4 linked regions of the Rattus norvegicus genome follow. The protein of the gene in region 1 purifies or fractionates together with the protein of each later gene. This does not show direct contact. Links are inferred from orthologs where the notes say so. Each region holds a gene or a part of one and is shown in the gene's direction. Other genes may lie near its edges.

Region 1 (5,424 bases):
GTGGCTCACAACCATCTGTAAAGAGATCCGATGCCCTCTTCTGGTGTATCTGAAGACAGCTACAGCGTACTTATATATAATAAATGAATAAATCTTAAAAAAAAATGTTAAGTAGGCACTGCAGCCTTGCATTTGAGTTTGAAACCTAATGTGTACCACCATACCCAGCCCTCTTCCCCTTTTGTTGACAAGAATCAGATTAAGTTCTGGATCATGCCCCACCACCTAGCCAAGACGTCAGTTATTTGAACACAGATTATTTTATGTTTTAGCCCTTTGACTCCCCTAAATGCATGGGGTATCGGAGGCACCCAGGTTTTGCATATCATGGCTTCTACCACAAAGTGATTTGATCTTCCATTGAGGAACATTTTGCTAACTGTTCTAGTAACTGCCACTCCACTTTGTTTCCTTCATGTTTAACCAGGAAGCAGGGCCCCTGAGGCATCTCTGTCCTAGACTAGTACAAACTGACCCTGCCATTGTTGCTCCACTCTCATGGGTATATATTCCCATCGATTTCTGAAGTCAAAGTGAAAAATAGAAAATACTGGTAAGTTGAGACCCCATGTTAAAAAATGGCCTCAGGACAGTCATGTCAACTTACAATGGGTGACATTATCTAATACAAATCTAATACATTATATATGTATGCTTGTAGTTTAGGGGAACAGGCCTTGATTGAGCTAAACAAGTGCTGTGTCACTGAGCCACACCCCTCCACAATGACCATCTTGTAAGGCAGTGCTGACTATCTCATATAATTTAATACAATACCAAAAGGAGAACACCAGGATTGCTTAAATCGACTTTCACACTATAGTAAGATAGAACAATAAATTGTGAACATATGAATTTAAGACCTTCCTTCCAGTTCACAACCAACACCAAGACCTTTTTTAAAAATGTGATTCAGGCCGGTGGTGGTGGCACAAGCAATTATGCCAGCATTCGGACCGCAGGGCAGGGCAGAGCTCTCTAAGTTCGAAGCCAGTTTGGTCAACAGAGCGCGTTCCAGGGATACACCCTGTCTTAGGGAAAAATGTGATTCAGAATCTGTCCCTTCTCTGTTCGTGCCTTCTCGCTCCATGTCCCAAGTTTTGCAGGGGTCTCGTGTTTCTGCCCTGCGCTCTCCCAGCTCAGCGCCGGTGTTCTGGGCCGCGATTGCCCACTACTCCTCGGGAAGCCTGATGAAGGTCGCGGTACACAAAGCACGATGGCCGCGGGGCATAACTGGGGACCCACACCGCCTGAGGGCCGAGCACCTCTCGTAGCCACCTAGCGTTGAACATGGGTGCCCGGGAACCCGCTTTCGCTTACAGGTGAGCAATCCTCATCCCTGAGCACCAGAGGTCTCAAGGATCCCGTTAGGGTCTAAAGCGTAGGGGCCGCGCACTCCGTAGCCCACCCCGCTAGTCTGGGCGGGCCTTCGGGGTAGGGCAGGAGCATGACTGGCCTGTTGTGACCAGGTGCTTGTGTTCAATGAGGCAAATCTAGGAAAATGGGCGGGTCCTTGTGGAGGCGTGTCCCCCATCCATGGGCGTGTCCTCCGGTCGCAGACCAGCCCTGGAGAAGGCGGGCCTTGGATCAGAAAGGGGTGGGTCTTTGGGATGAGGGTGGGTCTTGGGGGGCACCGGCTAGTATTCCGGCCCAGGCGGGTCCTGCGGCCTGGGCGTGTCCTCTGTTGGGGAAGGGGAGGGGGGCGGGCCACGAAGCCACTGCCCTAGCAGGCGTCAGACCGCGGCGCGGGAGACCGCGGTATGGGGAGGGTGCAGCTCTTCGAGATCCGCCTGAGTCAGGGCCGCGTCGTCTACAGTCCTGGGGAGCCGCTGGCTGGGGCCGTGCACTTGCGCCTGGGAGCGCCACTACCCTTCCGAGGTGGGCGCGGGATCGCTTCGGGGGAAGTGGGTAGACGCGTTCTTACCTGCGGTGGGGCGGGGCTCTCGGAAACCGTGCGGTCAGTGGGCTCTGAGACTGGATTCTCAGTCTCCAGGAAGCCCCGGGTTACGACGGAACCGCGGGCGCCAGGGACAGGCTGTTCTAGGAGGCCCACAGAGGGCAGGGTGGGGCAGACAGCTCGGTGGCCCAGTCCTTCCGCATCTGTCCCGTCCTGTGCTCTCCGCCTAGGCGGCCAGAAGTCTGTGCGAGGGCCTAAGTGCTTGTTCACTATACTCAGGCAACCCTGGCGGTAGAAGCATGCAGGCCTTTAGTCTTCCCTTATTCAGTTGTCCAAGGTCCAAGGCACTTTACACCTGCTGGGTCCCTACCGGGAACCTAGTGTGCTCTGGGTCCTCTCTTTTCCTTGTCTCCAGGCTCTTATGCAGTACTTTCTTCAAAGACAGTTCTGGTCCAAGTGTGCAGGTTTCTATCAGGATCCACCTTCTTGCTTTCAGCTTAAAGATTATAGTTGCTGGCAAGGGGCCCTGTTCCACCGGGCAATCCCCTTTCTCCTGTCCTAAGGCCTTATGGGAGCTGAGCTGAGACCTTTGCTGATGCATAGATCTGAGACTGGGACTGGGGATCAGGTTGCTGCTTTGCCATTGACAGGGCATTCTCAGGTGCAGGCTCCTTGGTGCTGGATCCACGAATAGGGGGCCCTGTATGGGATTTGATGACTGAGCTCTCTGGGGTCAGTGGGCACTGTTGTGGCCTCTGTCTGGCACTGACTGCAAGATTATGTGGGTGTCCCTTACTCCTACACTCTCTCAGCCTACTCTGTTTTTCGTAGATCAGCTGTTTTTACAGGACCCCAAGAGGTAGCAACCCTTGTTAGTGTGTAGTACAGTTGGAAGCAGGACGAGCACAGATTTAATGGTAGAATGTATTATCTGGTGGGGATGGTCAGGTTCAAGATCTTTGGAACTGAAAGAATGGAAAGGTCTTCATTATCGTGGCCCATGGTAAGAAGCTGCTGGAAGCTAGAAGTACCAACGAGGGAAGAAGTGTCTCTGTAGAACAAAATACACACCATGATTTTCTTTAGAAAACCAGAGCTGCTATAAGGTGGAGCATGCCTTCAATCCCAGCACTTTGGGAGGCAGGTGCAGGTGGATCTCTGTGAGTTCAAGGCCAGCCTGGTCTACAGAGCTAGTTCCAGAATACCTAGGGCTACACAGAGAAACCCTGTCTCAAAAACAAAACAGCAACAGAAGAGCAGCCTCCAGTCTCCAACGGTGAACACCTGCTAGTTTGGTGGCTCCTAGTCAATTCGGTGAGTGGTGGCTGCCTTTTATTATAGCTAGAACACTGTTAGGAAGTGTACTTTATACTCGAATGACACCTTAAGGTATATATTGTTCTGTAGGCTGCCACTTGATGCTCTGTAGATGAGGATTTGCTAGAATACACTTGCCCTGGTTTCCTGGTTATGCTATGTTGCAAGGTATGAGAGGACCATGGTTGCTTCCCAGATACCTTTGCATGAGAGTGGAGGGGTAGGACTGTAGAGAGATTACTGAAAAGCAGCATAACATTATTTTAAAAGAGCCATGTCCAGTGGCTTGCAGCAACAGCAGTAGGAAGAGGAGCAGCAGAAGCAGAGTGACCACCTAGTATTCTCAGAACTCCCTCATTTCTCACGATTTATGTAGCCTTATGTAGTGCATGGTTTTTCTGCTCCAGTGATTGGAGAAGGTACATGCCTGGCTGCTGGCATTGTCCTTGGCCAGTGAGCATGGTTCTTGGAGGAATTTTTCTGGGGAAATTTTTACACCTTGATTGTGATGCTACTGAGGCAAAGGAGAAGCTCCGAATGTTTTTTGAGGAAGCAGAGGACATACTGTTTGCAAGCCCTTTTCCTCAGTCACTTCTCAAGAGAGTAAGTGACACAGGGTATGTTCACCTCAGGGGCTAGAGGATGTCCACACTGGCAGGGTCTTCCCAAGAGCCCTGTAGTGTGGGAAATGCCCAGCATTGGGAAGATCAGAGTTGCATCCCCCTACTCCCAGTTTGCATGTGGCTTGTTTTCCTGGAATCTGGTGGTCTCATGCTCCTTTGCCTGAACTGTAGGAGGTCCAGACTGGGCTGATTGTTGTTCTAGGCAATGCTATATGAGACTCCTGTTGAATAGTATAGGACTGGAGACCTGACGGGTGTCCTGGCATGTACAGGTGCAAACACAGAGGTTGGCCCTGTGTCACTGTGTGGCTTCTCCATTCCCTCCCCAGTATGAGTCAAAGTACTTAGCAGTTGTCATTCTGACCAGGAAACATGTAAGTCACCTGGGTTTCCCCTGGTTTCTGGTGCGGCTGGTGCTGGTTCCAGTTATCTATTGCTACAAAAGGTCATTCAAATAACAAACCACCCTGCACTAAACGCTAAAGCAACCAGTTTGCTATTGCTCCTACATCAAGTGTGAAGACTTCGAATAGCACCCACCGTGCCAGTTATTGTAGGCACCCTCATAGCACCATGGCAGCACCTGGACTAAACTAAGCCCTGCAGATGGATGTTTTCCGTACCTGTGTGGGGCCAGTCACCCTTAGAGAGATGTTCCCTTTGTGAAGCATCTTCAGTCCTTTAGCAGACCTTTGAACCTCCTCTTATCCCTGTCATCTCAAGAATTATTTCCTGGCCTAAGCTGCCACTAGTGTTTAGATGGCAGAAGGAGTGCGTGCATTTCTTTCTTTCTTTTTTTTTTTTTTTTTTTTTTTTTGGTTCTTTTTTTCGGAGCTGGGGACCGAACCCAGGGCCTTGCGCTTCCTAGGCAAGCGCTCTACCACTGAGCTAAATCCCCAGCCCGAGTGCGTGCATTTCAAACCAGGTTGGAGGTTAGAGTTGTGAGGTTGGGCTGACATGGAGGGTGACAGACAGACACTGGCATTTCCAAGGACAGAGAGTAGTACAGCAGGAATGCAGAACAGTCTCAACAGTAGGGACAGGCACTGGCAGCCATCAGGTGAGGGAGTGTTAGCCTGTTAACGGTTCTCTATAGGCTCTGCCCAACAGTCACCTAGCAACAGCCAGGTAGGCCTGACTTGCTATAAAAAGGACTGTTAGCCTCTCTTCTCTCACTCTGACCCCTTTCTCCTTTTCTCCCTACCTCCTTCCACCCTCCCCTCCACCTGTTCCCAGCTGGCCTCTTCTCTCTCTCTCTCTCTCTCTCTCTCTCTCTCTCTCTCCCTCCTTCTCTGCCTATACTCCCTTTTCAACCCCCTTTCCCATTCCCCCAAATAAACTTCATCCTATACTAGAGCAGTCCCATGGCTGATACCTCAGAGGGAGGGACGCCTCAACATGGGCCTACTGAGGCACCCTCTCCAGCCAGCACCATGTGGCACTTTACAAAGCATCAGAGTGTACCTGTGCAGGGTGCTGTGTGGAGAGCTGTGTGGATTGAGGATGAGCCAAAGGTTATAGGATAAAGTTTGTGGGTGACCAACAGGATGCGTGGACCGTGATACCAGGGAGACTACGAGTGAAGCA
Region 2 (4,684 bases), on another chromosome or scaffold:
AATATTCACTTAATCACAAATCACATGTAATATTTAAAATACTATGTTTGAGCTTGACTTCTTTTCTCTTAATTTTATTTTTAAAGTATTTGTATTCTGGGATTTTCTTGTCATGGTAGGCTTCTTAGTTTTGATATTTAGTCTTGCTAAAGACTTTCTTCAATAATGTATTTATATAGTAGTAGGTCATGCATCTAATTTCAGAAACTAGCTTGTATTGTTTAGTTTGCCTAATATTAACAATGCTTTGGTTAGGTGCCCGTTCCTGTGTTTTTGCCTGCTCCATTGGAGAACAGTGAGAAGATTCCTGCCTCAGTTGAGGACCTCAAAAGCAAAGTGTCTTCAGATCCTCTTGATACAGAATTGCTTACAATGACGGATATGATGACTGAAGAGGAGGGGAAAACAGAGGCATCTAATATCAACAGTAAGCTACACTATTCAGTTTGTCAGCAAGAGGTTTGGGGGACGGGGTCTATGTATTGTCATCTTTACAATACTTAAAGGCATATCCTGTAGCAGGAAAAAGGATTATAGCAGAAATATTTTATATTAAGAAATAACACACTTTGCCTCAGTGGTTAAGAGTACTAGTTACTCTTGCAGAAGACCTGGATCTGGTTCCCAGCACCCACATATCTTTCTTTAATTCCAGTTCCAGAGATTCCCCTGCCCTCTTCTGGCCTTCACAGGCATAAGACATGCAAGTGGTGCACAGATATACATACATGTACAATACCTGTACACATAAAACAACACAATTTTTTAATAAAGAGGAATACACACTCCAACTTGAACCAGGTTTGCTCTAATGCTAAGCTTGATCTCTAGTGGAATATTTTGTTTTATTTTGAGATGGAGACTTAGAATGTGTCCGAGGCAATAAACTCTTGGCCTCAAGAAGTCTTCAGTGTCATCTTCTGAAGTAGATAAGATTACCTTTTCTTAGAAACAAAAGTTGGGTGGGTTTGTTTGTTTGTTTGTTTTGGTAAGATTTCTTTATGTGTTTGAGAGTTGCATGTGTGTATGCCTGGCACTTGTGGAGTTCAGAAGATAGAGCATTATATCCTTTGAAAATGGAGTTATAGATTATGAGCCACCATGTAAGGGCTGGGAACTGAACTTTGGTCCTTTGCAAGAGCAGCCATTGCTTCTAATTCACTCACTCCCTATTTTTTTATTTTGTTTTGTTTTAATAGTAATAGGATTTGAATTCAGTTCAGTTATTTTTCTTAGGTTTCTAAGATTTTATTTTGTGATCGTTATTTCTAGTAATATTTTATTTTTTATACTAATCAAATATAATTTGCTTTATTATATTTATATTATATTTATCTAAACCAGAATTTTTCCTACTTTCTTTTAGGACACTGCTACATAGTGGTGTGATTTAATATGAGTGTTTTGTTGGGCAACTCTGTCCTTTTGAACATTTATTCCTTCCTATCCGTAGTCTTCTGGTAATATTTAGAATCCATTTTTAGTCCTGAACTGTCTAATTGCTTTTATACCAGAAGAAAAGTGTAGAAGTTGTTTTGCAGTATTCTCAGAGGTTGTCAAATGAAGTGGATTGTACTTAGTGGTATGATTTTTGTTGTTGTTTGTTTGTTTGTTTGTTTTTTGAGACAGGGTTTCTTTGTCTAATCTTGGCTGTCCTGGAATTAGTGCTGTAGACTAGGCTGGCCTGGATCTCATAGAGATCCCTTTGTCTCTACTTCCCAAGTGCTGGGGTTAGAGGCATGTGCCACCACCACCTAGTGTGGTGTTCATTTTTAATTAAGAATAAAATACAGACACCCACTTAGTCCCTGCGCTCAGGTGTTGGAACGTGAGTTCTAGGTGTGTCCAGTATATGACACTACATACCTCATGGGAAAAAGAATGGGAAGCCATGTCTGAATCCTTCAGAGAAGAGTTAGGTGGGTTTGTGAACGCCTTTGTTTCCTAATTATATACGTTTGTCTTAATTTCTGTCTGGAGACCTATTGTCATTCTAGTATATATTAGATAGAATGCATTTATAACTACGGCAAAACAGTTAAACAGTTCATCGAAACATATGGTAGCTATTAACAAGCATATACTAAGTATGTGTAAACTTGGTCAAAATTCAAAAATACTGTTTGAAAACCATAGTTGTTTATTTCCATAAGTTTATTTCTGATAAAGAATTGTTTTATGAATATTGACATGGGGAAATGGCCCACTCAGTAAAGTGCCTGCCATATAAGAATGAGATGAGAACCTGAATTTGGATCCTCCGAACCTATTTAAAAGATCAGGCACAGTGGCTTGTGTCTAACCCTAGTGTGAATTGACAGATTAGGAAGGGAAGATGGATCCATCAAACAAAGAAAAACACAGGACTCTGGTCAGCCTCTGGTCTCCACATGCATTCCTGTCTGGAAGCACTTACATCACACTGGCAAGTAATGTATGTGTCCTCCCCACCCCCACCACACACACACACACACACACACACACACACACACACACACACACACACACACACACACACACGGGAGTTGTTTTATATTAACTTTTCTACTTTTTCCTTTGGGAGCTTAAGTACAGATACTATTAAGTTTTTTTTTTTTAATTTGATTTCTAATGATATTATTGCTTGGTTACAGGTGTAATTATTGAGACAGACATAATTGGCTCAGATCTTACAAAGAACTCTGACTCAGATATACAATCCAACATGCCCGATGTACCATATGAACCAGATTTGGATATTGAAATAGATTTCCCCAGAGGTACTTAAATACTACTTTATCATTATTAAATCAAGTTATATGGTTGTATTTAAGGTAATTGATCAACAGTGTTAGTAAAATTACCTCTTATCCTCATAATTGTTTCTTTTTTCCGTGTGTCCTTTGTAGTGGAGGATGCTGCATGTACTTTTCCACTTAGCTACATTCTTCCTCCTTTTCTTTTTTATTTCTCCAAATAAAACTGAATTAATTGCAGGAACTTTAGAAACTAGAGAAGAATACAATACTTGTATTTTTTCAATTCAGAGGTATTGATAGTATTAGCGTAGAGGTAGGAATCATGATAGGGTTTTGCTATATAATTCAGACTGGCCCCCAACTCAAAGCATGCCTTCTCCCAGCCTCTCATGCTGGGATTATAGGTACGTGTCAAATGTATAGCTTGGTAGCATTTTTCTTAATGTTCTTGAAAGTTAAATTCATATTTAAAGGAAAAGAAATACATTTACTTCTTTAACAGATGTATGCTCAGGGCTGGAGAGATGGCTCAGTGGTTAAGAGCACTGACTGCTCTTCCAGAGGTCCTGAGTTCAAATCCCAGCAACCACATGGTGGCTCACAACCATCTGTAATCAGATCTGATGCCCTCTTCTGGTGTGTCTGAGGACAGTGGCAGTGCACTCATACATAAAGTAAATCTTTAAAATAAAAAAAGAGAGCGACACGCTCCCTTTCGCTGCTGGTTAGTGCAGATGAAGTGTAGACGTCTTCCGTCTCATACATAAAGTAAATCTTTAAAATAAAAAAAGAGAGCGACACGCTCCCTTTCGCTGCTGGTTAGTGCAGATGAAGTGTAGACGTCTTCCGTCTCGTCCGTCCGGATAGCTTGGCATGCTCTACAGTCCCAGCCCTGGGAGACGGGGGCAGAACTTAAGTTAAGGGCAGCTACTGTCAGGTTGTGAGGTCAGTCTGATTTAATTAATAAGGGTCCGTCTCAAAAAAGACAAGTGTTTGAAAGCCTTGTGATAGTACATTCCTGCAGTCCTGTTGCTAAGGTAGGAGGGTTGTGAAGTGTAGACTCTGTAAAGTAGGTTCCAGGCCACAGACAGACAAATGTGTTCCTGTTCTCATTTTCCCCTAATTTATAAATTCCTACTGAATGAAGTGTAAAGCATTCTACGAAAAAGACAAGAGATTGAACAAGATTGGCACTTTTAGATCTTCTAACTAGTTTTATAGTTGTTTTCCTTTTTCTAGTATCATACAGTTCTGTGATGCTTCTGTACTGATTGATACTTGCTACATTTGGTTTTTAGTTTATCAAATAGTTTAGCAAAACTCAACACCATGTTAAGTATGAGTCTCCCTGTGCCTCGCCTCGCTGAGACTTACCCCATGTCTGGATGATCCTTCATGTCACGGGACTCTTTATTGGCCGTGTTTATGTAGCAGAATCTTGTACTGTTATATTTGAAGTAAGATATTTTCTAATTTGTCAGCTGCAGAGGAACTTGATATGGAAAATGAGTTTTTATTACCACCAGTTTTTGGGGAAGAATATGAGGAGCAGCCCAGACCTCGATCTAAAAAAAAGGTATAGAATTTGTTAATGTTTTATATTTTTTATTCATTTAACATCGCTGTAGCAGCATGTCAGAGAAAGATGCTTTGGGGATATCTTGGGCCTGACAATATGGGGAGATAGATATTAAATTCATCTTAATATAATGTCAAAATGGAAAATAGTTGACATAAAAAGAAAATTCAACTCAGACAATAACAAAGATTATTTTCTGAGTGAGCATGGTGGCACATAGCTATAACCACTGCATTTGTCTCAATGGAAAGGAGAAAGGAGAAGGGGTTGGTGATTTTCAGTGGATTAAATTTCTCATCAGTTTGGATGAGGTTAATTAATGAAGAGAGATGTAGTTTATTTTTAAGCATGCCAACACAGAGAGGAA
Region 3 (4,684 bases), on another chromosome or scaffold:
TGAGTCTGTAAACAAAAGAATGAATGTGGTTTTACCAGGCTGTGCACTGAGTTTATGGAAGTTTTCATTATACTGAACTGCCCTACAGACTTTTTAGGCAGAGATTCCAAACAATGTAAGAAAAGCTGACTAATGGCCAGCAGGTCTCTGCTCTTGACTGGCTATGATGTGAGACCTGTTTGGATTCTTGCTTTGACTTCCCCTCCATGACAGACTGAGGAATTTGTAAGCCAAATAAGTCCGCTAAGTTGCTTTTTGTTGGGATATTTTTTCCCAGTTGCTGAAATGAATCCAGTTTTTGGATTTAAACTATTTGTAGTCTGTATGATAGTTAAGAGAGAGTGTATCACTCCAGTCCACAGCTTGGAAACATTGCCTTCATTTCCTTTTTACACATGCACAGATAGACTCACATCCAACTTTTTACTTGCTGAGCCATTGAGAATAAGTTACAGAGTTTGTGCCATTTTCCCCTGAATATTTTGTTATGTATCACTTTAGAAAGTGTAATATTTTTATTAATTTGTTGAGAATTTCATAATAATGTATTTTTTTTTAATTTTTACGGGTATGGGAGTTCTGTCTGGATAAGAATGAAGAGGGTGGTGGATCCCCCGGAAGTGATGTCACAGATACTTGTGAGCCACCATGTGGATGCTGGGAGTTAAATCCGAGTTCCCTGGAAGAGGAGCACGTGCTTTTCACTGCCGATCCATATCTCGAGCTTCACAATGTACGTTTTTAAAATTTTTATTTATGTGTATGGATGTTTTGTTTGTATGTGTGTCTGTATATGGTGTGTGTTCCTAGTGTCCATAGAGACCAGAAGAGGGCTTCTTCAGCCAGAACTTGGAACTGGACATATAGTTGGTTGTGAGTGACCATGTAGGTGCTGGGAATTGAATCCAGGTCCTCTGGAAGAACAGCTGATGCTTTTTACTACTGAGCCATTTCTTAGCCCCACGATTGATTGACTGATTGATTGATTGATTGATTTCTTTTGAGGCAAGGTCTCATTATATAGCCCCAACTAGCCTGAAACTTAACTCTGTAAACCAAGCTGGTCTTAAATTATTGTCATGTTGACGCCAAGGGATTAGAGTGGTTCATCACCTCACCTAGCCATACACAATGTAATTTGACCATTCTCGCCCCTCCAACTCCTCACCCAGCTCCCCTTAGATGAGACGTCTCTTTTAAGACAAGGAAGTTCTCCCATAGGACCTCATTCCACTGTGACCTGCTAGGTCATTGCTATTTGACATATCATAGTGCGCTCACTGTTATTTATAAACTCTTTAATGAGACTTAAAATTGCCTTTTCTTAGTAGTTATTACATGATTATGATGAGCTTCTGATTTTATGTTGTGAACGTGGTAACAATGGAGACTTCCTTAGTTACCATTGTCATTAGTTTTTTTTTTTTTTTTGGTTCTTTTTTTTTTGGAGCTGGGGACCGAACCCAGGGCCTTGCGCTTCCTAGGCAAGCGCTCTACCACTGAGCTAAATCCCCAGCCCCCTTTAAATTTTTCTTATAAATTTTAAGGCTAAATTCTTATTGTGTGTAATAACTTGACTCTAGTTCTTTGCTTTTTGTGTGTGTGATCAAATGTATCTAAAAATGATAAATTTTGTTTTTATCTTCTTTTATATACCTTTTAATCAGATTACTTATTTTTAAATATTCTCCAAATTTAGTATTCTGGTTATCATTGTATTAGATAACTTGTAATTACTTAAGTAAAACCACCCTTTGCATTTTAGGATGACACGCGAGTTGTGAGAGTGAAGGTTATAGCTGGCATAGGTCTGGCCAAGAAAGACATCTTGGGAGCCAGGTAAGTATGATATGTGGGTTTGGAGTTTAAAGAAATAATATTTCTTTCTTGGACTTTGATTAAATGAAAATCTGAATGATAATAACAAATTTTGGTGTACAGTGAGGACCTTACAGGTTAGGTGGTTGATTATTTTCTTGGTATCTGTAATAGTGATCAGTGATAGTTATAGATTTTTTTATTTTAAGTCTCTAAATCCTTTAGCAGATAATAACCACCATAATCTCTGGGTGCAATAGAAAAAGTACCTCTGAGCATCAAATGAGCAGAGCGGGAGTACTGGGGCGAGCCACATGAGAGCGAAGCAGTGGTGTGGAGTGGTTCCCTTATGGGAATTAGTCTGAAGCCAGGGAGAATTACAACCTGGAACGGGAGAGGTAGTCCCACAGCCTGAAACCCTGGAGCAGGTTGGACTCTCGTGGTGGAGAAATGAGAAGAACAGATTGGAAGGAAGCATGGCAGTGGTAAGGAAAAGATTTGTACCCTCAGCTGGTGTCAGACGATCTGAGCGGAGAGCTATTGGCCCAATAGAGTTTGTGACCCTTGTCCAAACAAGGTAGATAAACATGGAAAAATAACAGAACCTAGATTCTCTGTAACTAACTCAGCTTACAATGTCCGGGACACAACATGTAGTCACCTGGTCTGTGGAGAGACAGGGAAGTGGAGCACAGTAAATGTCAGTCAATAAAGAGTCTGTGAGCAGAGTGTGCTGGGAGGCAGAGGCGGGAAGACCTCTGAATTCAAGGATTGTCTGAGTCCAGGGCTGCCAGGCCTACATAGCGAGACAGTGTCTTCAGGAAACAAAAACTGGGCCAAAGGGAAGAGTATATGCTCATGGTCAGTCAAAACCTTGGAAGTTTCAGGAATGAAGTAGAGACAGACAGACAGACAGACAGACAAACAGGGAAATTCTACAACTAAAATATATTTGAAATTAAAGTACTTTGGTTGATTATGATAACTGAATGGATACATAGAGCAAAGATGAACTGAATATAGATTAATGGGAATCATTTACCAATTAGAAGATGATAAAGAAGAAAGGTCTGGGGGTTGGGGATTTAGCTCAGTGGTAGAGCGCTTGCTAGGCCCTGGGTTCAGTCCTCAGTTCCGAAAAAAAGAACAAAAAAAGAAAAAAAAAAAAGAAGAAAGGTCTGTTTTAACTACGTTCCAGAAAGACCAGAGAGCTAAATAATGAAATAAAATATTTTTAAAGAGTAAGTGTCTAAATCTGGAAACAATAAATGAAATATACAACTGGACTGGAGTGTTGGCTCGGCATTCCGGAATTGCTCTTACTGAGGATTCCCAGGGACCCGCCTGTGACCAACTCCAGGGGATCTGGCGCCCTCATGTGGCCTCCACAGGCACTGCACTCACAAGTACACATACAAATCTTTTAAAGAAGAAATGTTAAAGCAGGTTAAAGTTCCTGGTGAAGAGAGGAAAAGCATCAGAAGCAATAAATACCTGGAATCTTCAGACACTTTTAAATTAAAAGTTTTATTTTTGTGTGAGGGTGTTTTGTCTTCATGTATATGTGTGTATGCCTGATATTCATAGAGGTGAGAAGAAGGTATTGAGTCCCCTGGAACTGAAGTTACAGATGTCTGTGATCTGCCATGTTTGTGCTGGGAATCAGACTTAGGTCCCTTGCAAGAGCAGTAAGTGCTCTTAACCTTATACAGAATCCATTGGACTCGGGACTCCCAACCTTCTCTTAGGGATTTATATAGATGAAAAAAATACCCATGGGAATTACAGCACAAAGGACGGACGTGTCTGCTGTGACCCTGTGTGGGAGAACGGTGCCATAGAAAGCAAAGGCAAAGTGAATCACTAAAAAGTAGGAGACATGGGGCTGGGGATTTAGCTCAGTGGTAGAGCGCTTACCTAGGAAGCGCAAGGCCCTGGGTTTGGTCCCCAGCTCCGGAAAAAAAAAAAAAAAAAAAAAAGAACCAAAAAAAAAAAAGTAGGAGACATAAATAAGCCATCTGTCAGCGGTGAGGCAAAGAACACTAGGTTTTATAAGAGCAGACATTTGCAGGGTTTTTGTTGTAGTTTTGTTTGTTGACAGAATTTCTCTATGTCCCTGGCTATCCTGAAACTTGTTCTGTAGCCCAGGCTGCCCTTGAACTCAGGTCTGCCTGCCTATTTCTCTCAGTTGCTGGAATTAAGGGCATGAGCCAGTGCCACCATAGCTATGCAAGCACAGTTGTACACCATAGCTGTAAAAGAAATTTTAAAATGAAATTCTTGAAATAATTAAAAAGCCAATACAAAACAATTTTTTTAATGGTGACAGGACAAAGGAAGGAAAACATGCATTCATATATTGTTTCTAATTATGTAATAATTATATTCATGTAATACATGAAACATTGATGGGATAAGTAAATGTTGGGCAGAAATTAGAAAATAAAACTTAATAAATGTGGTGAAAGCGACTGTAATTCCACCACTCAGCAGGAATTCTAGGCCAGGCTGAGTTACACAGCGATACCTTTACAACTAGAGCGGTCTGTGTTGAATCCCTGGTGGTGGGGGATGTGGGGGGCATGGATCAAGGAGGGCACAAAGATCCGGTAGTCATTAGTAGAGGGTGTGTTGGCACGAAGAGACAGGCATGTTCTAGGTGCTTGCTGGATTCTAGAGAATTCTAGATCTTGCTTCAGAGCACCTACATCGACTGGCTTACAACTGTGTGTAAATCCAGCTCCCAGAGATGCAGCCCTCTCATGCCTGTGGCAGGCACTACATATACACAACACAGAAGCATGCATTGTGTGCACATAAATAATGAAACTCTCTTTAAAAAACATACACTTAAATACAGCTTAAT
Region 4 (5,307 bases), on another chromosome or scaffold:
AAGGCTTGCTCCTCCTGGCTTGCTCAGCCTGCTTTCTTATCCTAGAGTCACCAGCCTAGGGATATTGTATCAATTACTAATTAAGAAAATGCCCTACATCTGGGTTTCATGGAGGCATTCTCTCAATTGTGGTTCACTCCTTTCAGATGACTCTAGCCTGTGTCAAGTTAACAAAACCTAGCCAAGACAGGAACCTAAATTGCTAAATTGCTTCCATCAAATTGGCCTTTGGACATACCTGTGGGGCATTTTCTTGGTTGCCAATTGATGTAGAAGGGTCAAGTACACTATGGGCAGCTTCACCCCTAGGCAGATTGACCAGTGTCATGGAAAAAGTACAGGTCACCATGAGCCAGGGAACAAGCTAGGAGCCAGCATTTCTCCCCGGTCTCTGATTCTTTCGGTTTCTGCCTCCACATTCCTGCTTGAGTTTCTGTCCTGGCTTCCCTTGATGATGGACTGAAAACTGTAAGCTGAAGTGAACCCCCTTTCCTTCCCTTTTTGTCATGGTATGATGTTATCATCACAACAGAAAGCCATCAGGACATGAATTTCACCCAAACTATGAAATGGATGGGGAAACAAGAGAAGATGGGGAGCCCTTTCTCCCCCTTTTTTTGCTCGCAGACTCAGTATCCAAGGTTCATGGCTGTGTTACAATTAGGACACTGGCGAGTATTAGTTTGCTTTGAAGTAGAATGTCATGCCAACTTTTCAGGAGTCAATAGTTTAGCTTCAAAGAAAACATTCAAAAGATTGCAACAGTCTGAGTGCACAGATTAGGTGTTAAAGCCTGTTTTTGTTGGAAAGCAGTGTGGGAGAAAAGCAGATTTACTCTAGTATTCGCTCTGGGTGAGGTAACCCATGGGCAAGGCGGAGTTAATTACCAGGAGACAGAACCTCACAGGCACTGGGCAAAAGGACAGATGTCTTAGAAAGAGTCCCATAAGCAGTGTAATAGCAGGGGACTCACAGTGAGCAAGTGAGGCTGGATACAAGGCTCGACAGGGCAAGTCTGTTCCTTTCTGGAGACCAAATGGATGCTAAAGGCCAGCGCCCATCATGATCTAGGTGGTAGGAATAGTTTGTGCCGTTGGGAGCTTCAGGGTAACAAGAAGCAGGCTCAGAAGAGAGCATGGAGATGTGAGTCATGCCGCAGTCTCTGGGGTAAAGGTGCTAGCTTTTCCTGTCTGTCCAGTTAACAGATATGGGTCCCACCTGCTGCATTCCCAGTGCCACTGTACGTACTGGGGATAAAATAGTGACAAAACATGAAACTCACTGCTTTGGCGAAACCCCCGTGCGTATTAGGGGGAATGGACAATGGGTAAGAGAGTGCTCATATGGCAAACCAGACCTTACGGAGAAACAGAAAGGTTGACTTCCAGGATGTTGTCATTCTGCATATAATGGTCCCTCTATTTTTAAGTGCAGAGGTGGCATTTGAGCAAGGTCCTGAAACTGTGGCCAGAGAGCTACGTTCCGCTCGGCAGGAGAACTGAAGCAATGGGCAGTACCTCAGAAGGAATCATCAACTGTGTTTGACATGTATCTTGCTGGTTGAAAGCGTAGTTGCAGGAGATAAATAGCACATGTGGGACAGGAAGGGGAAAGAGGGTGGTGGACTATGTGGGAATGCAGATCTAAGAGGGATCTATAGAAAAGCCCCTCCCCCTTACTTTCTTGGAAAAGCTATGCCAAGGGAAACCGGGGGCCAGAGGTATATGACAGTCATCTTGTGATCGCTGTCCTAGAAATTTTTTCTGATATTATCAGGTGAGTATAGGATGGTGTCTTTTATTTCCACAGCAGATTATTGTATGTTGAGGTTGTGATAAACTCTCCTTCAGGCTTTCTATCTGGGATGTTTGATTCTAACTCCTCACCTTTTTGCGCTAATATTTTATGCTTGTCGGTCTCTTGCAGCTTTGTAGGAAAACAACCTCAGAGAGGCAGACAGGATGGCAAGCTCAGCCCGGGAGCATTTGCTTTTTGTGCGGCGTCGAAATCCACAGATGCGGTACACACTGAGCCCAGAGAACCTTCAGAGCCTCGCAACCCAGAACTCAATGCCCGAGAACATGGCCCTGCAGCGAGCCAACAGTGACACCGACCTCGTGACCTCCGAGAGCCGCTCCAGCCTGACTGCCAGCATGTATGAGTACACACTGGGGCAAGCCCAGAACCTCATTATCTTCTGGGACATTAAGGAAGAGGTTGACCCCAGCGATTGGATCGGACTCTATCACATAGGTGAGTCGGGTGAAGGCTTGCGTGTGGCTCGGCACGGCTTTCAACTCTGAAATGGTAATGTTCTGTGTTTTCTCCTGCTGTAAAAGGAAGCAAACTTTTTCACACAAATAGACAAAGCTGATTCTGGACGTGTTCTTCGTTCCTTGGGAGGAGAGTTCCTTTACTTATATGCATCTTGTGGTTCTATTTCTACTGAATTAAATGTCAGCCCCTGTGTGCACCACTGGATTTTCTCTTCAGTTTCTCGCTGGTCTTGAGACAAAGTTATGACTTGGAAAGAGGAGTGGGGGTTATTAACACCAGTGAACACTGTTAAACTAATACGGAAACAGTTTGCATTTTCTAAAGGTTGATTTCACTTAAAATAATCTGCAGCCTGGGTATCTTTTTATAAATGGGAATCATTGCCTATTTGTTTTGATAAAACAGTCCCAGTTTTGCTTAACTATATTCAAATCTGTTATTCATATCTGAATGAATGGTGACTGACACTTCCCAGAAAATACAAGTTAGTATTATTTGAATGCAAGCACCATACCTACCAATTAATCTTAAATACGTTTTCAATCTAACATAATAATAAAATCCAGCATTACTTAAAGTTGGAAAATTTTGTCTCCAAATGAAGAAAATTACTTTATAATTAATATCTGATATTGATTTCAATGTAAGCATCTTGTTTCGGTTGCATACTTGTAAACAAGGAGTCCTGTGTTGATACCCTTACAACTAAAGCTTTTTACATAAGGCTCATTTTGCCCCCTAGAGGACACTCGCGGTGTGTGGAGGGATTTTTGATGGCTGTATTTTTTTCTCTGTAGTGGGATTAGAACACAGCATTGCATGTACAGGAGAGCTCTTCTGCCCCAGGAGTCCCCTGTCCAACTTTGAAAACCCTGATTTAAGGCAAGCCTACATCCTTGCTGAACTTCTGTTAGGATATTAAACCTACTGAAACTGGAGTTCTTTGGGGACTAAGAATTTTCTTTTAAAGAGGTTATCCGTTATATTAACTTTGTAACTCTCAATGATTAATCATGCTGGATAGTAAGAAAAAAATCCAAAATAGAAACAATTTCAATGAATTAGTAACTTTCTTGTTTTCCCTCTTATGATAACAAAGAGTAGTAGGGAAAAGTCTTTAAAGTTGTTTATTTTCTTTGGGTGTATTTAAGTACATAGTAGAGTGAGGAAGGCATACAATTTAAAGTCCTTGTCTATATTATTGTGACTGTGAAAGAGCTTATAGTTTTGTGGGATGTCAGTCTCCTTTGGGCTCCATAACATTTGTTTTTACTTTTCTTAACTTTCTTTTTTTCTTTTACATTTTAGATTTTATAAGCAAAAAAATCCTTAAATCTCCCTATGATATTGCAAATAGAAAATGGTGATTTAAAATATTTTATATGATGTTTCTTGGGAAAATAGTTAAATTTTACTTTCTCATATAAGATTAATTTTACATACGTGACTGACAGTCTTAGTGCTAGAATCATACGGCCATTAATTCGGGATTATGTACTATTTTCTCATGCTTTCTTATTGTTCATCCCCTCAAACTGTTACATTTTCCTGTCTAATTGGGATAAGTAAGGGACAAAAACATAGGTTTCATGTTCTGTGTTTTACCTGCTGAGGAAGGAGTGTGTGTCAGAGTTAATGAAGACCTGAACTAGGAAAGCAGGGGTGGGAAGAGAATCTCTTATGAGTGTTAGCTCTTTTTAAAGAAGCTCCTGTACCTTCTCACACAAATCACCCTTGTTCTTTACATTGGTTTCCATTAGTGTGACTATAACACGTTTATATTTAATTTTCTTTTTTTTTTTCCGGGAGCTGAGGACCAAACCCAGGGCCTTGCACTTGCTAGGCAAGCGCTCTACCACTGAGCTAAATCCCCAACCCCTATATTTAATTTTCACTTTAGTTATGTTGGCTGGAATATGTAAAATTTATGTTAATAAAGCTTTTGATGAATTTGGGAAACTTTGCTACTTTTTCTTCTATTTTTCTTTCTTCTTTTTCTTTTCTTTTCTTTTCTTTTTTTTTTTGAAACAGGGTTTCTCTGTGTATTCCTATCTGTCCTGGAACTAACTCTGTAGACCAGGCTAGTCTCAAACTCATAGAGATCTGGTTCCACTGCCTCCTGAGTGCTGGGATCAAAGGTATGTGCCACCAATGCCTGACTCCATTTTTTTCCTTAATGTGAGTTTTAAAAAACTATTACTTTTTACTGAGACCTATATTATATTATTTCACATTGTTCTACAAGGTATTTGTGGGTTTTGATCCATTTTTTATCCATCTATTTTCTCCATGATATTCACATTTCCTAGTTTATTCTTCTCTGTCTTTCTCCTCTTCCTTTTCCTCCTTCACACAGACACGCAGAGACATGCGCGTGCGCGCGCGCGCGCACACACACACACACACACACACACACACACACACACACACACACGAGCATTAGAAACAGGGTCTCTTGTGTTCCAGGGTTGCCTGACATTGCTATGTAGCTGAGGATGACCTTGAATTCCTGATTCTTTTTCATTTACCTCCCAAGTGCTGAGGTGATAGGAGTAGACCACCACACCAGCTCTGTTTGTCCTCAAGTTTATTAGCCTTTCCCCCTTTTCTTTATACTGAGCCAGTCCCACTTGGTGGATTTTAAATTTTCAGGTAGTTAACTGTTTTTTTAAAAAGATTTATTTATTAACTATATATGAGCACACTGTAGCTCTCTTCAGACACTCCAAATGAGAGAGTCAGATCTCATTACAGATGGTTGTGAGTCACCACACAGTTGCTGGGATTTGAACTCAGGACCTCAGGAAGAGCAGTCAGTGCTCTTAACCACTGAGCCATCTCTCCAGCCCAGTAGTTGACTTTTTAACTTCTAGAATTCTCACAGATCTCTGGCAGGACAGAGTAGGAAGAAGCAATTACCCCAAACCCTGAAGGGGCTGTGCGAACACAAACTAGTACTTAACTGGAAATGCCTAGTAAGTAGACAGATGTTTGCTCTTCTTGTGCTTGCTGCTAATCTTACGAGATCTT

The links.
Region 2: the proteins of Arrdc1 (region 1) and Zmym2 purify together in Homo sapiens (affinity purification with mass spectrometry; 3 studies listed by BioGRID and IntAct, counting the BioPlex papers as one, with this or other methods). This does not show direct contact. The link is inferred for Rattus norvegicus from reciprocal best matches to the Homo sapiens genes ARRDC1 and ZMYM2.
Region 3: the proteins of Arrdc1 (region 1) and Nedd4 purify together in Homo sapiens (affinity purification with mass spectrometry; 3 studies listed by BioGRID and IntAct, counting the BioPlex papers as one, with this or other methods). This does not show direct contact. The link is inferred for Rattus norvegicus from reciprocal best matches to the Homo sapiens genes ARRDC1 and NEDD4.
Region 4: the proteins of Arrdc1 (region 1) and Hecw2 purify together in Homo sapiens (affinity purification with mass spectrometry; 3 studies listed by BioGRID and IntAct, counting the BioPlex papers as one, with this or other methods). This does not show direct contact. The link is inferred for Rattus norvegicus from reciprocal best matches to the Homo sapiens genes ARRDC1 and HECW2.

Annotation. Positions count from the first base shown.
Region 1 is NC_086021.1:28,136,570-28,141,993, reverse strand, and holds the start of Arrdc1 (arrestin domain-containing protein 1), read left to right. Parts: upstream 1-1,746; 5' UTR 1,747-1,760; coding exon 1,761-1,878; intron 1,879-1,924; exon of another isoform or gene 1,925-2,521; intron 2,522-5,424. UniProt on the Homo sapiens protein: Functions as an adapter recruiting ubiquitin-protein ligases to their specific substrates. Through an ubiquitination-dependent mechanism plays for instance a role in the incorporation of SLC11A2 into extracellular vesicles.
Region 2 is NC_086033.1:35,206,111-35,210,794, forward strand, and holds part of Zmym2 (zinc finger MYM-type protein 2), read left to right. Parts: intron 1-255; coding exon 256-427; intron 428-2,633; coding exon 2,634-2,759; intron 2,760-4,219; coding exon 4,220-4,314; intron 4,315-4,684. UniProt on the Homo sapiens protein: Involved in the negative regulation of transcription.
Region 3 is NC_086026.1:82,270,907-82,275,590, forward strand, and holds part of Nedd4 (E3 ubiquitin-protein ligase NEDD4), read left to right. Parts: intron 1-567; coding exon of another isoform or gene 568-568; coding exon 569-733; intron 734-1,765; coding exon 1,766-1,839; intron 1,840-4,684. UniProt on the Homo sapiens protein: E3 ubiquitin-protein ligase which accepts ubiquitin from an E2 ubiquitin-conjugating enzyme in the form of a thioester and then directly transfers the ubiquitin to targeted substrates. Specifically ubiquitinates 'Lys-63' in target proteins.
Region 4 is NC_086027.1:63,071,374-63,076,680, reverse strand, and holds the start of Hecw2 (E3 ubiquitin-protein ligase HECW2), read left to right. Parts: upstream 1-1,922; 5' UTR 1,923-1,961; coding exon 1,962-2,253; intron 2,254-5,307. UniProt on the Homo sapiens protein: E3 ubiquitin-protein ligase that mediates ubiquitination of TP73. Acts to stabilize TP73 and enhance activation of transcription by TP73. Involved in the regulation of mitotic metaphase/anaphase transition.